Linked DNA regions of Daphnia pulex. The protein of the gene in region 1 interacts with the protein of each later gene in a pairwise test. Links are inferred from orthologs where the notes say so. Each region holds a gene or a part of one and is shown in the gene's direction. Other genes may lie near its edges.

Region 1 (11,521 bases):
TTTTGATCCTGCTCCAGAACCATATTTAACTGGGATTCCTAGACAGTAACAAAGGAGTTATTTTGATAGACTTTTTAATTGTGGGAAGAAGGGGAATATGATTACCTGCACCCAATGCTCTCTGAAGAAGAGCAAATGCAACCATGGCTTTCGTGTCAGCCAGAGAAGCTCCGGGAGCAGCTACAGCCACATATGCTAAAGAACTGCTCGTATCCACACGTACTTCTCCTCCGTGTACTTTCGAAGGAGCCCCCGAGCAAGACTGACCAGCTTTAAGAGCCAAACTTTGGGCGTATGCGACCAAGCGATCGTGAGGAATACCAACTCCAACAACTGCAGCATTGTCTGCACGCAAATTGGCAGCCACAAAGCTTTGCAGCACTTCTGTTGTATGTTTCCCAACCAAATGTGAGGGGCAGAAAAGACTGTTGGCCAGTCCTGTACGGAAAGCTACCTTGTGAAGGAGTTCAATAACTTGTGTCTAAGAATTAAAATATTTGGTTTAACATTCTGTATGATGGTGAAGTATAAATGTGCAATACCTCAGGCTGAACTGCAGCCAAATCAAGCTTAATCTTGTACAGGTTATCAGACAGCTCCCAAGGTTTGAATACTTGTTGAGTGGCTGCATCAGCCAGTTTAGGCAGAACTCCATCACTGTGCAATGATAAAAAATTATTCATTACATAAATCTCAGCAAAATAGACTTGTAAAAACTTGCATTTGTTTGCGAGATGCATCTACGGAGTAGAGAACATGTTCACGACCAGAAGTGCAGGTCAAAGCAGCTCCAGCCTGATTGATTACACGTGTAAGGGAAAACTGGGTTGATTGTTTAGTACTTAGGCTGGATGTCATTCGCAAAAGATGAATGATTCCTTCTTTTCCTGATGGTTCATTCCGTGATCCAGCTCTAAAAAAGAAATTTTTTTATCACTTTAACAAGCACACAAATTCTATTTCTTACTTGAAAGCGATTCCAACACGAGAAAGGGGGGCGTTAGTTTCAATCGAAGTAACAACAATCCCATTACTCAGAGTGGTAGTTTTCACGGGTTCCCGAGGAACGGGAGAAAATTCCGTAGCGGCCGGTTTAGCAGCGGCTTGTGCAGCGAAGCCACGCTATTAAAAAGAAGTTATTATCCAATTGATCATTTCACTGAGGAAATTGCTTAAAAGTTGAATGACTTACAGTGGCTTTGACCGTTTGGGTACTTAGAAATTTCGATGCCATTTCTTCGATTGGTATACCCCAAACCAGCTGATTGTTTAGACCTGAGAAGGAATAATGGCGGATTTTCTACTTTTTATCACCTAGCGGACAAGTCGGTTCAGCAAACCGAAATGAAGTTTTTCTCACCAGGAGTTTCGACAAATATGTCCTAAAGCTTAATATTCCTTTCGCCAGATGGCGAGTTGAATTGCGAAATGCGTTTCGGCAACCACATCGTCTGTCAAGAAGAAAATCGTGTCTGTTTGTGTCTACTGTCTACCAATTTCGTTTCTTCTTATTGACTTGTTTACAAAATTCATCATCCGTTTTTCTGATTCAACTAGTCCATGTAAAAATTTATTCATTTTATGAAGTAGATCAATACTATTATTAAACATAGTGCAATCTAGTCCTAATATATTCTTGTTAGTTGTTTATTGATCTGTCATCTGGATTTTATTCACCTGCTTGATCTAATATGGCAAACTATTGATTTTGAGTATTTGAGTCATAGCTGAATTGCACTTTTCCTTCATGTATAGTCATAATAATCTATGCTTGTTAAGCTATTGGTATTAAATCATCGTTAATGTGTAAAAACTGCACAAACCTTGTTTCTATTTATAATCAGAAAAGGGGTGTATTTCCAAACCAACTGCTCAAGTGGTATACACACTGGTTGGAAAAATAGGAATGGATAGTTTGCATTATTATTTAATGTAAATCTTTACCAATAATATATAAACTTTTTATTCATGTATTACTCAGTCAGTCAGGTTGTTCATGAGAAACAATCATTATGGCAGCAGAAATCAAGCCAGTTCCTATTCTTGCAACATCAGCTGCAGCAACTAGATCGAACCAGAAGAAACCTATTCTATTGCACAAGATTGAGGGCTATGAAGAAACTGTGAATCAAGCTGTTATACTACCAGGCGAGGATGGTGTTGTGGCTGTCTGTGATGACAGGTTTTATACTATTTCATTTTGTTTATAATTTATGTACATAAAGAAATAAGTTGTCTCATAGGTCTGTAAGAGTCTGGTTGAAACGCGATTCCGGCCAGTTTTGGCCCAGCATTTGCCATTACATGCCATCAGGAGCAACATCTGTCTGCTTTACCAAAAAAGTCTGGAGAGTATTTGTTGGTCAAGAAAACGGCACAGTTTCGGTAATATTTTAAAATTATTTCTTGAATATTGAAGTTCCGCATATCTAAAGTCTCATCTATTTGGTTGTTATTGTACAGGAATTTGTACTGGCCGAGGATTATAACTCGCTTACACACAAGCGGGACTATCTATCACATCACGCCCGTGTGACCCAAGTGCACCACGCTCCGACTCCTTCGTGGATACTTAGTGTTGGTCGTGATAAATGGTTCCAATACTATTGCGCAGTATCAGGCAGACGCCTTGGTGGTCACATTTGTCCAGCGTGGGCATACTGTTTGGAGTAAATCTAAAGACTAAAGAAGATTTGTTCTGAAATTCATATATTGATTTTGTCGATGGTTTTCTGTTGTAATAGATTCGATTTCGCATCCCGCCATGTATTTGTAGGCGACGCTTCTGGTCAGATTACCATGTTAAAGTTGGATCCCCAACCGGACTTGGCCACTAGTAATACCACAACTGAACAGCAGGCTGTTGGAGTTCAACAAATCACCGTCTTTAAAGGACATTCTGGTCCAGTTCGTTCTTTAGCCTGGGATGCTGGTCATCAGTTTTTGTTTTCTGGAAGCGAGGATAAAGGCATCATCGCTTGGGACATTGGAGGCCAGCAAGGGACGGCATATGAACTTCAAGGGCACAAGTATAAAGAATAATTTCCGTTTTGTGACTGACATTGTTTTGCTTTATTTTAATATTTTTTATATTTAGGAATAAAGTCATGGCTGTATGTTTTTCTCCCACTGGCCGTAAACTTGTTTCCGGAGGAGAAGACTCCATGTTGTGGATATGGAACATGAAAGCTAAACGAATAGAGGTGGAATAACGCCTTAATGATTTAAAATTTCCAATACGGTATCGGGTTATTAAATTCGATACTTTATTTAGACTTCTGAATGGACCGAGTCCAGTACTTGCCAAAGGTGCAGTCGTCCATTCTTTTGGAATTTGAGGGGGATGTTCGATCAGCGTCAACTAGGTAGGATCTCAATGCCTGAGTTAACGTAGAAGTTAAATTATTTCAATTGCATGACTATACGTAGGTCTTCGACAACATCATTGTCGGCAATGTGGGAGGGCCGTATGTGATGACTGCTCACCACATCGCTCCGTTTTACCTGCAATCGGTTATGAATATGAGGTACGAGTTTGTGTCGAATGCAACAAGAGTCTCACCGATGCAAATCGAGTATCGTTAGCCGTTTGTCAAGAGGCTAAACACTCAATTCTCTGGCTTAATTTGGACGAAGAGCGCGGTCGACTTCTTACTCTTGGCCATGATCGTGTAAGTTTTCATCCATTATACTTTTCTTTTAGTGATGGGGAAGGATTTTATATTGGAACTTTGTCATGTAGATTATGAAGATCTGGGATGTTTCTTCTCTCCTGAAGAACGACGCTTGAGTTTAATATCCTGATATATATCATTTGGCTGTGATCGTTTAAATTTCATCGTCATAAACCCTTCCCGCCTGTTCTCACAGCTATTTGTAATTTTCATTCCAATGCGGTCTGATATTGTATTCTCTAACCGTGCCCTCCCTCTCCCCTCCCCCCCCCCCTGCACCTGTTATATTTTGGTGAGATTTGTGGATAGTTAATATTCGTTTCGATGAATATCTTTGTTTCTTTGTTTGCTATATGTTCTAATCTGCAGCTTGCAGTAATTTTCTTTGGCAAAATCGGTCATCCTCCCGTTGTGCTCCTCCTCAACATGTGCGCCTTAAGCCCTTCATGTATATCCAATTTGAACTCGAATAAAATTCATTAATTAAGATAAATTAATTAATATTTTCGAGTGCCAAATTGATATAAATGTTAATTGTCATCGAGTAAACTTTAAACGTGAAAATAATTCTTATACTGAACAATTTTATCGAAAATTGTAAAATATCTGGTTATGTGGATGTATTTGAATGCGTAAAAAATATCATAGCCAATCAATAGCAAATTTTGATTTTTAGTTCTGAGACATTTAGTTTGGAAATGTGATTAAAAAATAGTGTGATAAAGCAATTCTTGGAGAAGGTTGGAGGAAGAGAAAGAGGTAGACATACAGAATCCTGTGAAGGGGGTGGGAAATAGTTTCCTCGTTCGCGCTGATTGGCGCAGATGTTGACTGGCTCAGTCCCTAGAGGGTCGGAAACGTGGGAAAGAAGGGTAGTGGTAACCTGTGAGACACAGAATTCAAAACTCTGAAACAGCATTCGAAGGTTTAAAACGAAAGGAGCAAGTCGTTAGGTGAAATTGTCCAACATTTTCTGTTTGTCACCAAGTGTTATTATTTAGTAAGCGTCTACTGTTACATCTTACATACACGACTTGTATTCTTAAATCAGCAAAAATGATTCGACATCAGTATCTTGCGGGTAAAAGTTTTACCTACTTTTTTCTTTTCCGAAATGCGAATTTTTGTTTTCGATCTCTGAATTCTTTTAACTATTAATTACTAGTGAATTTTAGTTAATATCTATTTTGATTTTGGTTCTATTTATTAGGCAGAGCATTAACAAAGAAGTCTGTAGCAACAACTATCCAGTCTATTGAGGAGGATGAAGGATATGGCACTTCTTCTCCCACCATAGACAGCCCACAGTTGAATAACAACATTTTCACTTTCGTAGAGCCTTCTGTTGGTCCTACTGCTCCACCTGTTAGTAAGGTTTCGGAAGATGAATGGTCTTCCCTGGAAAAGGAGTTAAATCAAGTTCTGAATATGCAGCCGTTGACTGAGTCTCGTGTCAAACCTCCAAGTGTATTTAAACTTGGATCTACCAAAATGTCAATCTACTCCACCACTGCTGCGAACAAGCAATCTCGAGTTAATTGTCAATTTTGCGCCAAAAACGGAGAAATTCGCAGCGTGGTATGTTCAAATTTCGTAGACCATTTCTGAAATTGGAAATCTAACTAAAATGTCTTCATTCTTCAAGGTTGAGTCCCACACCTTACGCCATCCAATCACCCGTGCTATTATTTGTCCAGTATTGCGAAAGTACGTTTGTGAGATGTGCGGGGCAACAGGCGACAACGCTCACACCAAGTTTTATTGTAATACATTTTAATTTTTAGTTAATGATTCACGACAGTTTGTCTGACTTAATTCATCTAATTGTCTTAGGTCCGGAAAATCGCAGCCGGAAGATAGCGCCCATGGCTATCCTGCTGAAAACTACCCGCAACAACGCAACCGGTAAACGGACTCATATGTGACCCCGAATACAATTCCACCACTCCGGGAATTTAACTTATTGTTTCTTTGGCACTGAAATTAAGCGATATGCATTTTGTGATCGTATCTAACATCCCCCACATGAAATCTGGAAAAGTTGTAATGAGTTTAATCGTGATTTAATTTCTAATTGTCAATTTTTATGTGATCGAAATATGGATCTGAAAATAAAGAAAAATAGCTGAATTTTGAGGCAAGAGATCGAAAAAGGAAATAATTAATTAGTACTTAAATAGATTACAATTAGATGCAATGCAATCTTGTCCTCTCTTCGGTCTACTACACACTTGGTAACACCGAATCTAATTGAATGACAGGATCGAGTATTATGCATATAGACATGGCCTATCTGCTGACAATGACTGGAATCGTTCGGGAATTGTCTGAACATGGAAAACAAGAGACGAAGGATGAACCTCGCAGCTATATGTGTGTGCTGTTTGTTGTGTTGTTATTTTCTCTCCTGTGTGTATATACCTGCTATATACGTTTGTTCTCCATAACCTTGATGGAGAGTCACGCAGTCACGGGCTTTTGCCATGGTTTATTGCTGTGTCTCTCTCTCTCTCTGCTCCAACATTATCTTGTACACTAGGCCTATTTTACTTTCCCTCTTTTTTTTCACTTGCGTTTGTGTTCGCTGTTGCGTCATCATTGCATCACGTCGAGCGCATCCTTTCCTCCTTTTTTCTTCTTCTTCTTCTTGGTGGTGTATGACTAGATTGTGTTAGACAAAGACCTCATCTCTTTTTCAATTGATGGTGTAGACTCTCTCTCTCTATATATAGCTAACTTGATGATAACGGGAGACACACAACTCCGATTATTCTCACTCTCCTTTCTAATTGTATATAATATATGTACCTTGGATCTATACCACAGCATAGTTGGAGTATTGCATCACACTTAGATGGGTCATGGTTCGTGTAGGAAGATTGCAATAACGCAGGCTTAGGCTAATATACTATATATAAGTACTCAAGCAGTTAATTTCCCAAATTATATTTCACAGATTTTAAATGTACGCTGACGAATAAAACCTATTACACATACAATTTTCACGAATACGCCTGTTATATTCGGATGGAAATTTTTAAAAAAAAAGTTTAATTTCTCCAGGAGAACTGAATTGAATTTGAACTTTTTGACCCGATTTGCAGCATCGGGAAAAAAAATGTAAAATGACGGTGAGACATTTAAATAAGAGAAATCCGAGCACAGCAATATAGGTCCTTGAAATCTTTTCCCCCAAAAAGTAGAAAGAATATAATTACAGCGTCGGCTTCATCGGCTTGATGTTTACGGTAGACCAAAGATCGTTATAAAACACCGGTTTATATGTAGCTTTTATTCATTCGCATTATAAATATGCATAGCCCTACGGCGTAATAAAGTTGGGGCGAGGTGCTGGTATCATCCGACTTCAGTAATTGCGACCATCTAGTAAAATTCTGAATCGTTCTGAATTAGCGCATAAATACATTTTACGTGAATTAACCTTCTACTGACATTGCCATTTGAAAAGTTCGCTGCATTTTATAAAGGGGTGATTCCATATGAAAACGACCAAAACCTGTAGCGACCATCTCACGGATTTGATCGCCACTATAGGCTTTTTCGATTCATATGAATAAAAAAAAAATTTCTTCGAAGGATTTTGAAAAAAAATGGCGCGTTCGCCTGGCGCGAACGTTCGATTTTTTAAAAAGTCCGCTTGACCATATAATCATTACATTTTTTTTAGCATATTGGAATGCGATTATTGGCTCATTTATCTATCAGAACATGTTCTCATAAGGATAAACTATTTTTTAAGACCAAGCGCGACAAAATCAAAGGTTGCACCACCTGGTGGCGCGAAATTTAAAAAGTTAAAAAATGAGCAAATTTGATGTGATAAAAGGTTAAGTTAAAACTGACGTAGGTTCAAAAAAATAAGTGAAAATGTAAACGAGAACTTTGTCAATGTGTGGTCTAAATTTGAAACTCGTAGCTTAAGTTGAAAGTATTATTTCTTAATTTTAAAAGTACAACAAAATTTTTTTTTCTCAAAATTGACGTTTTTCAACTTAAAAAACGGGAATGACAGGCCTTTTAAATAATTTAAGCTGGAAAAATAATACTTACTTACTGTGATTGACTCTTTTATTTCGCTTTTATAGCTTTATAAGTACACAAGCAATGTGCATTCAGGGGTTGGGGCTTAAGCTCATAGTTCACCCTAATCACCCAAATGTCCACAAGGCAGCGCTGATCAGCAGGTCCGACTACTGGCTTCAGCCGAGATAGCCAATTCCAACCATAAGTTCCCCCACCATACTAATACACCATGCCTAGACTGGCAACGTTCTCTGGAAACCCCTTCTCAAAAATTGGCAGCCCTGCTTGGAACATATTCCCGTAAACATTCAGGCAGAATGTAACGGCAGTCACACTCAGTAAGTGATAGCTCCGCAACTTATCTTAACTTATCGGAATCACCTAGATTGCTGGCAATAGTTGAAACTTGTCGAACGTTAAAAATACAATTAAGAACACTATCTGTATAAACATGCACAACACATAATAACACAACCTTCGAACACTACGGAACAAAAACCAAACCCGATATATATTTCTTAATTGCAAGCAAATTTTGAGTCTTTCCAATGCAACACTGGCATAGTGCGATAGGGTCATATTAGCATTTCTGAAATTGAATTGTTTAGATTAGTTTCCATCCAAGTTAACATAAAATACATGCATCAACTTTACATGGTTTCAGTGAATATCATTTCACGTAGTTCATCTTCAGCAAAGACAAAATCTGGGTACCCATGCCCAATGATCCAGTCCTCCACACCATGAAGGGGGGCGACCAATTTCCCAAATGGGTAACATTGAGATGACAAGTTAGTCGCAGCATTCTGAACTTCTTCGATTAATCTTTGGCTGAACACCCAGTCCTTCCAGACAACTTTCTTCTTTTCAGGAGACTGGTTGTGCATTTGAATCCATCTGTGTAAGATTAGAATAAGACAAACTTGAATACTTTTCCAATAAAATTAAGCAGTATAAGGATAAGGATAAGGATAAGGACTAAAACAACCTTTCCGAATTTATTGATTAAGATTCAAGATATATCGAATTGTGTGGAAATTTTCCTTTTGCCCTCCCAGCCTTTATTTTAGGGAAGAGCTCATTGAAGAAGGAAATTAGGGATTTTTTGTACCTCTTTCTTCAGTTTCACTCTGCTAACGTGAACATTTTCCATTTTTACTTGGGACTAGTAACGATTTTTTTTGTCTTGAAAAATTGGGTGTTTGGGCAACAGTCATGTTTGATCAGGGTCCTCGCTATCTGATTCCAGGTTTGTATCTGAAAGGGATTTTTCAAGTTCTTTGATTTGATGTCATCTTTTTTTTCCTTTTCCTTCGGGTAAGAGATAGGGCGTTAGAACTAATAAAAAAATTAGCTTACGTTTTAAATTTGACGAATAAAACTAGGAGGTTGCGCTACTGCTGTTGCATCTGAATCTTATTCATCCGACTCAAGGAATGAGTCGGAGAATGCATGCTCTAGTTCGTCTACTTCTTCCTCATCTTCCTGGTTCTCCATAACTTTCTTCCTTTCCTCGACAGCTTTCAGTTTGTCCTTTTCCTTTTTTCTTCGATGGCTTTCTGTTTTTCTTTCTGTTTTTCTTGTTCTAGCCATTCTTCCAACATTTTTACCAATTCTTTAAATGGGTTCCTTGTTTCAGACTTTTTTCCTTTTTTCTTCTGGAATATTTTTTTTTGCTTTTGGGATTTTTTAGGCCCTATTGCCTGCAATTTCTTTTTCCAGCTTCTCAATTTGTTGTCTTCTTTTTATTTAGTTTTCCTTGAAACCGACGTAAAACTTGAAGTATTTTCCTCAGAAATGGTCAGTGGTCAGAAGTTGTCGACAAAAATTTTCTTAGCTATGTTCATATATTCATACTTAGCATTTCTCTACATTATTTCTAGTTTACTTTGTAATATTCAACTTTAACACTTTTCATTTTTAGATAATTCTATTACAAATTCAATCTGCCCAAATAAAACACTGTATTTGTAACACGAGTAAGATATACAGCAATCAAAGTTTACATTTGGTTTGTCGACTAATCAATCATGAAATTTCCGTGTCATTGTTTGTTACAAGGTTTGGATAACACAACCAACTTATTGGTGAAAACTAGAGGGTTGCAACTGTAAAGGGCGATTTTTAAAAAAATTTAGAAAATAGGGCCCTTTTTTTCGTAGCGCCATTACGAATGCACGGCGAACGATAAAATTTTCGCTCGGCGAAATTGGTACAGGTGATCCCATGTACAGGAGTAAAGGGATTGAAAATAACAAAAAGCCGATCCCCACATCCTGTTCATAATTTAGTTTCAACCTTACACTAAAAAACAAATGTTTTTTTTATATTAAATAAAAACGAGTGACACGTAGCGCCATAAGACGCCGTGTTAAATGCGGCCGAAATTGGTACAGTGTACAACTTTTCGTTGGTAGGTACTGTACATCATGAAGAAACATTAGGATGAAGAAAACCGAGTGAACCTTTACATTGGAGCGTAAGGTATCTTTTTCAAGGAGAGGGAGATAAAAATCTTTTACGCGTGGCAGGATTTGCATGGCCTCCCTCAGCTACCTCCTTCCATCCATCAGACTCATCGGTGGAGCTTAATCCATTTTCTTATGGTTTTGCTAACAAATTGGGTGTTCCAAAATTTTAATTTGGCTGCTCCTATTAACACGGTTGAAATAAAACGTGAATTATTTATAGGCCGGGTTTGCCAAAGTGAAGTTTGTTGATGCTGAAGAGGTACAAATCCTCCACGTGCCAGCAGTAGAAACTACCCAGCTGACCGAGGAAGATTTGAGGAACTTTAATTCCAGGTAAAATTTCATCTGGGCGATGCAGAAATGGCCTAAAAGTCTCGCGAAGATCGGGTAGGTACCTATTCAAAATGAAAAATGGATTAGGCATTCCCATTATGAATATCTGTTGTTTTTTAAAACCACATACTGTTGCTGTTAACGGGGAAGAGGGAAAACTGAATATCAAACGTATTGCGGATGCTGTTCCCTACCTTCCGCAACGTTCTTGAAATGGTGCAGCATGGCAAGCCAAATGGGCAACTTTTGCTTTGTTACGCTGCTGTAGAGAGCTCCGCGTTTTGCTTCGTTGGCTTTAAGGGAGAAATCGACCAAATTCTCAAGAGTGACATCTGTTAAGAATTGGAAATGAGTTTGAAGAATGGATTGAGTATTAGATTTATTTCAAATTGATCAAACTCATCTTCAACTCGTCAACACCAAACCGGAGTTTTCTGATATTAAAAAAAAAACTTTGTTTAAAGTGGGCCTCTTAATTCATAGAAATGGCTACTCACCGATCAAAGACAGCCTGAAGAACTCTGACTTGTCATCGGAGCTGAGTCACATCTCCTCCCAGAAACAACGGGTGTCGCAATGTCGCCAACGGTGCCCCATCGGGAAACAATGACGGCAAGGCAAGGACTTGAGGTTGGGACACTCTCGATGCAAATGTCCAACTTCACCGCATGTGTAGCATGTACGTTCGTTTCCTGGAAATAAGGAACACTTTACTACGTGATAAAACTACGTACTAAACAGAGTGGAATAAAGTTTTTTATGTTTTTGCCTAAAACTTTACCTAGTAGCGTTAAATATTCAACACAAAATGGAGATTATTACAGACATGAGCAATGAATCCTAAATAAAATTTAAATTTACCTAGATTTCCAGCCATTTTTCCTATTCTCTATGTATGTCGCTATGCGTACCGAACCGGAACGGCGGTAGCTTAGCAAACAAATTTTAAAAATTGAACTGAAGTATAGAAAAGAAAACATTCAAAAACTTGTCCACATG
Region 2 (6,443 bases), on another chromosome or scaffold:
TGTTACGTGACGTGTAAATGCGAACAGAACTACTTCGGTTCTGAAATGATCATTGGCAATTCAAATTCTTTGCGTCGTTGCTAGTTCAAATTTTAATTTGACAGAATAGGTCGTCATAAAATAGTAGAAATGGAATTTGATTCAAGAGTGCTACATTTAATTACTTTGTCAATTTTTTTAATGTTTCAGTCGAAATGTCATTCCCACTCAACTGGTCTGACTGATGTGAGATCTTCCTCTCTGTTAAATATACCCAGGAATCTTTCTTCACTAAAAACATGAACAGTTAACAGTACATACAGAACTGGAAGACGGGCATACCAGCAGTAGCATAGTAGCGCATAGTAGCAGTACGGAGAGTTTGGGTATGTTCTACTTCTAAACATAGGCTTTGCAACAACACAATTTATATTACGTATTGCAACGTAAGTTACATTTTCATAAGAGAAGATCTTTCTTTTCAACGCATGTTATAATAGGAAAATTTAATTAATTTAATCCCCTTTCCTCTTAAACTTTTATAAATATCGTCGTATAGTATTTTGTTAATTTAAATTTCATAAAAAGAAATACGTACACAAAAAATTTGTCTGAAAAAAGAACCCCGAAAACAGCCAAAGCAAAAGTGCAAACGATTCAAAATAATAAAAAAAAATACTTCCGGTTTCTAATTGGACTTTATCTTACCGTACCTCATTTTCCACTATCGTAGTCATTTCCCGATATTCGCTGCAACTTCGCAAGTACTACAGTATCTTTGATCTATGGAAAGCCAAATTAGAAGCTTTTTATTTCGAAAAATAAATAGGAGCGATATCTAGAAGTAGCAAAAATGCTGTTAATTTTGACCCGCATTCGTTTAAATTTAGCCGTCCGTCCTAGTTTATGAAAAAATGTAATACATCAATGAATAATAGAGAAAAACTATTAAGTACGTATACGAAGAAGATTGAGGAACACTGACGAGCTTAGTTGTTTCCGGGAACGAAACTCTTTAATTAAAAATGGTTACATTATGTGCTTTACTACTAGTCTATCAGAAAGTTAAACAATCCCCGTTTCCTTGTTCGAAAGCGGACTTATTCTCCTTATCCTCACAGCAAACTAACTTTTGTCATTCATTTTTTTATGAAAGAAGAATAATAAATACATGATATTTTATTCTACGTGCATGTTCGATATCAAAATCCAAAGTTTGAGACAGTGACAAACTGAATAAAAGGGAACTTGTGTGGATTTTGTTCATTTGACAGTCCGAACCTTACATTAAGAAAAAAGAGCTTCATATTTCTTTTATATAACGCCAGATAATGTTGAAAGAAATTTATGAAATGCGTGACTGTCCAAGTATCACACACTCGTTTCACGGAAGATCAGAACTTTTATTGAAAGCGCAACCAATAAATTATTTTCAAACTAGAGTAACGCTCAAGCTCAACACATGAGTTTTTAACATAGAAAGATAGAAGTGGCCAAGTGGGTTCGTACTGTACGAACCCACATTTGGCCAGTTCGTACCAAAAAATATGTTTTAATTCGTTTTTTTTTAATTCAAATTAAGTATTGTAACTTGGATGCAAAGAGAAGTGCGCAACTATAGCGGGAAGTGTTTAAATTGAAATTGTGGTTGAATTTTTGTATTTAAATTTGAAGCACGGAAATGGAAAAAAATAAACATATTATTAGCGCCACCCTGGATTTCAGATGGGGAAGTGAACAGTAGTAGTGATGTGTTGATGAGCCATCAGATAGTCTTCTGCTCATCTAACGAAAACATTACACATTGAAGAAAATGGCTACGCCTTCAAAAGAAAATGGTGCATTTGAAGTGGCCCCATTAAGAAGTTCAGATGATTTTTTATTAGAATCAGCGAGATTTCAAGTGCCAAATTTCCGTGATATGGAAAAATGGGGGAAAAGAGTGTACAGCAACCTTATTTATTACCAATCAAACTACTTTCTACTTGCTCTAGCTCTCTTTGCTCTTGTTGGGTAACATTATTAAAATTTAAATGTTTAAATGTTATTAATAGTTAATATTCTTACAGGCTTATTCATCCCTTCAAGATGGTTTTGGGATTATTTGCTATTGGGTTGGCATGTGGACTCTTCGCTGCAGCTAGTAATGGTGGTCCTCAAGTTGCAAAATTCAAGCAGGAACACCCTGTAGTCAGCATAATTTCCATTCTTCTTGGAGCTTATTTGATTATTTATCTTCTTGAAGGAAATTTGGTATTTCTTTTGGGAATTTTGCTCCCATTTTCTGGTAAGTCTTCAGGCCTATTGACAATTATTAAAATCAATTCAAAATTATGCTAAAACTCTTTGTTTGTTAGCCACATTTATACATTCGTCTCTGCGCCTTCGTAGTCTACGTAATAAAGTGACCAACAAAATGGAGCAGATAGGACTGAAGAAGTCCACACCCATGGGGATGCTTCTGGATGCATTGGGTTTTGAAGCTGGAATTGTTGATTGACTGAATTCTATTGCAAGCAAACTTGGCATTCGCTAGTCACCACAAGTTAGAATCATGTGTGATATAATTTCAGTTCAACTTGTGTTGAGTAGCTATTAATCTGGGGTTGTGTTCCTTTCTAATAATAATGCTTAGCCAAAGTGAGCACTCTATGACAAACCAACAATCTGGAATGTCATGTGAATAGGCAGTCACAGAATTCATTCAAGTAATTACCAAATTGATAATTGATTTTAAAATATTTCTTCACTTCAACAACTACCGTACAATTTCTCGGAATAGTTGGTTATATTTGTCAAATAGGCTTCTTGGTTTCTTTTCTTTTTTTTTTTGAATCTCTTAAGCATTAATGTGGACATAAAAAATAAATATCACTTTAATTGGAATAAAAACACTGGTCTGCAACTTTGTTATTTTCCGATTCAAACTTTATTGCGCTTGCTTTGAAAATTGACATCAGGATTTATCGACTAATGGTAGTAGTTATAATATCACTCATAAAACCTCGAGGAAGTGCTCGCTTTAAAGTTCTTTGAAGTACTTCCGATTGTGCAGCGGTGCACAGAAAGGGCCTTCCGCATTCTCCAAAAGTACTCCATGTGGAGCACATAACCTTAGACAAAAAAAAATAAATAAATAATCTCACAAAATGTTTTATCACACAAGTCCTTGTACTACCATGGATCGTAAGTAGATTTTTGCCACTGAAACAGCTTTTCCTTCAGTTCGAAGAACTTCTCCTAAATCAAGTCAAAGATTTCAAAAGTCGATTGAATAGCGAGAGGCTCTTTTATTCCTCCGACTTTGCATGTATACCTCTTTTGTAACGTACCTTGTATTTCTTTTTGCGATGTACATTTACGCATTCTTTCGGGTCCGTTTTGAGATCAAACATTTCCCATTCCTCGCGAAAATAGTAATCTTTCAGCTCTTTGATCCAGCGTAGAGGGCGCCCATTCAGTGTTCGATTTAGCATGTCCTGAAAGAGTTTCTCGTTACTGAATAGTCAAATGTGGAAAAAGCTTTTTTGCACTACGCATCGACATGTGTAGTACCAGGAATGTTGGCGATAAGTAAAAATCCTGGTCGATGGGAAACGGAGTACCGGGCGCATTTAAATTGTGTATTAATTTGTAGCGCTCTTCTTGGATGATGGTTCTCATTGGGTAATTCATTGTTATCTCGTGCGTTACGTGACTGCCGTAGAATGTGTCACTTTTCATACCGTTTTCGCCACTCAAAAGTGGCAAAAGTGACTTTCCGGTGAGGCGGATCGGTTGATTTGGTTTCAGAATATGATATTTGGGATAATCGATTTCAAACCAGTCCAAAACGGTGGGTACTATATCCAGTAAATTGGCTTGGATGTCCGTCATTTCACCTCGTCTTGACTCGTCGTCTGGAGACTTGATGAACATTGGAACGGCCAATCCTAGAAAATGGAAATAGACGATATCCTGAAGTAAAATAAAATCCATTTGACTTGAATTTATATACCCGGTTCGTACATGTTAGTCCTGCCATTGGGAAATGAGATCCCGTTATCCGACGAAAAGATGATCAAAGTGTCGTCAGCCTTGCCGGCTTTTCGGAGCTCGTCAAGCACCAGGCCGACACCTGTAAATATTAATGTCATCTCATCGCTTCATTCATTTATACTACTCCATTCATTAAAACCTTGATCAAGTCTCGAAATTGTTGTGTACTGCGACGCTATGTCCTAATTATTTTGTAATAAAATCAATTTAGCCTACTATTGAAAGAAACTGAAGTCGATTAATTGAATTTCAGAATAATTAATCAACCTCTCGAGCCGCCGCAGTGTTAGGAACGAAATAAGGCAGTAAGACATCTTCCGGTTTGTATCGAATCGGCTTCCAGTCTGCAATGTGACCGTAGCCAGGCTCTCCATTGCCAAACTTGTCGCAGAAATGGCCGTAAAATGGATTCTTGTGATCACACCTGTGAGGATCGTGGAAGGCCACATAGAGGAGGAAAGGCCTGCGCAGTAGAAAATGGCGTTAATAAATTACCAGATAAAACTTGAAGACTTGTAATAGGATCAGTCAGTTTGAATCAGCCAATTAGAGCGAAGATTAAAACGAGAAGGGACAGATCGCGACTCACTGGGTCTCATTTTGCTGCTCGAGGAATTCCCTGACGAGCAACTTAATTCGGGTTATATTCCGGCCAACCTGCATGATGGAATTATTCTCTTCCGTCTGCTCGTAATCGAAAGTGTAGGCTGATCCGGGACCGACATGCTTCTTCCCTATAATGCCTGAATAATGTAGCGCAGCAGTTGAGTTGTCATGCCAAACCCATAAAAGAAGATAAGACTTTTATTTTTCTTTCTAGCGGAATCTTTTCTTTGAAAAATTATGTTGTGTAGTGCTATGCAGTGGTATTAGTTATATAGGATATAGATATATATACCAGTACGAACTCCGTTCTCCCGAAGGATTGTCGGAAGTGACCGAACATTCTCGAAAGAGTTGTAATGATGGACGTCGTGGTGCAGTCCGTATAATCCATTTTCATGACTCGGAAGTCCAGTCAACAAAGCAGCCCGACTGTTTCGCCCATTTTAGGTGTGTGTGTTGTTGTTGTGTACATGGGACGTGGTGGGGTATATATACGAACGTTATTTTTATATGGGCGAAGAAAAGTCAGAAAAGTACTTTTTATAGATAACACACAGCACTGACCTGGGAGAGCAACTACTCACCGAAGTCCGTGCTCGGGAGAACACCAAACTTTGGGCGGCCAGCGCATCCAAATGGGGCGTTTGGCACCGGTTATTTCCGTAAACGCCCATTTCAAATCCGCCATCATCAGCTTTTTGTTTTTTCCACCCCACATTTTTTTTTTCAATATGGCGGATACAACAGAGATTGAGTATTGCCAAAGAAACATAGTTACAAAGTCTCTTTTATTGTTATCAGTTACAACCCCACTCTTTATTTTCTACCCCCCCCCCCCCCAAAAAAAACTCGACGAACCAAGGACGTGTAACAAGAACAAAGTTTGTTTTAGCGCTATAGATAATAACGAACACTTTCCTTGGTTCCTTGCAACCCACCCCCCTTGAGAGATTATAGTTTGGAAGAAAACGACCATTTCTACCGAATAGAAATGCTCTATGCGAGAAACCAGCAAGTTGTTTTTATTGTAATTTTTACAAATATTGTGGGAAAAAGAATACACAAATTGTGCCAACACTTACCGATGATCAAAAGCACGTTACGGGCCTGCGATAAAGCAGCGGAGGCTCCAAGCTGACAGCTTAGCAGGGAAATAATTAGAAGTAACAACATCCAAGAAAAATATAAAAAACGATTAATTCCAGGCCTGCAGAGACTGCCATCCATCATCATCATAAGACGGGCGGTTGGGATCTAACGTGCCAGGGCGCCAGACTTTTTGCCAACTGGTTTGACACTAATTCTAGTCGTCGGAGTCTAGGCTACATTTTTGAAATAGGGGGAGCGCTTGTCGCCACATCAATCCCGCCGACCCAAAGTAGAAAACAACCGACAACTCAGCGTTTAAAGTGAATATTCCATCGTGGCCTTGTATTTGATCCTATTTGCTATCCTATCCTATTTGGGAAGTTTCAGCGATCAACACCAAGTGAAACTCATTCATTTCAATCACCCCGGTGATTTATTTATTGCACCCGGCGACAGTGCGACACGTTCGCCGTCGACGCCGGGCCACCGCCGGGCCGTCGTCCACACAAACCAGACACCCCTAAGTCGTATAAGTTTAGCTCTAACATTTTTTTTTCGTCTCCTTCGAGCAGCAGCTATAGTTAGCTATAGCCCAGTCGTCGCCATAAAAGCCTCTCTGGGTAATGTAATATAGCAATTCACATTCATTACACCCCGTGAGTCGGCGAGAGAAGTGGAGAGCGGCGGTTATTTTATCGCGTCCACCTCAGTTTAGTTTGGTGGACTTTTCC

Evidence for each region. The genes of interacting proteins can lie anywhere in the genome.
Region 2: the proteins of WD repeat and FYVE domain-containing protein 2-like (region 1) and PRA1 family protein 3-like interact in a two-hybrid assay, tested with the Caenorhabditis elegans proteins (2 studies listed by BioGRID). The link is inferred for Daphnia pulex from reciprocal best matches to the Caenorhabditis elegans genes wdfy-2 and praf-3.

Annotation. Positions count from the first base shown.
Region 1 is NC_060023.1:3,620,028-3,631,548, forward strand, and holds WD repeat and FYVE domain-containing protein 2-like, read left to right. Parts: upstream 1-1,388; 5' UTR 1,389-1,562; intron 1,563-1,981; 5' UTR 1,982-2,012; coding exon 2,013-2,182; intron 2,183-2,243; coding exon 2,244-2,385; intron 2,386-2,463; coding exon 2,464-2,669; intron 2,670-2,744; coding exon 2,745-3,029; intron 3,030-3,097; coding exon 3,098-3,203; intron 3,204-3,274; coding exon 3,275-3,365; intron 3,366-3,429; coding exon 3,430-3,671; intron 3,672-3,742; coding exon 3,743-3,790; 3' UTR 3,791-4,167; downstream 4,168-11,521. Other genes in the region: cytochrome b-c1 complex subunit 2, mitochondrial-like, read right to left, coding at 1-38, 106-481, 543-657, 722-913, 968-1,122, 1,193-1,234; nanos homolog 3-like, read left to right, coding at 4,731-4,755, 4,885-5,252, 5,320-5,437, 5,508-5,599. UniProt on the Caenorhabditis elegans protein: Plays a role in coelomocyte endocytosis.
Region 2 is NC_060026.1:3,444,931-3,451,373, forward strand, and holds PRA1 family protein 3-like, read left to right. Parts: upstream 1-1,695; 5' UTR 1,696-1,792; coding exon 1,793-1,992; intron 1,993-2,048; coding exon 2,049-2,266; intron 2,267-2,336; coding exon 2,337-2,479; 3' UTR 2,480-2,882; downstream 2,883-6,443. Other genes in the region: N-sulphoglucosamine sulphohydrolase-like, read right to left, coding at 3,002-3,092, 3,158-3,219, 3,312-3,458, 3,535-3,911, 3,977-4,096, 4,157-4,199, 4,285-4,480, 4,607-4,760 and 3 more.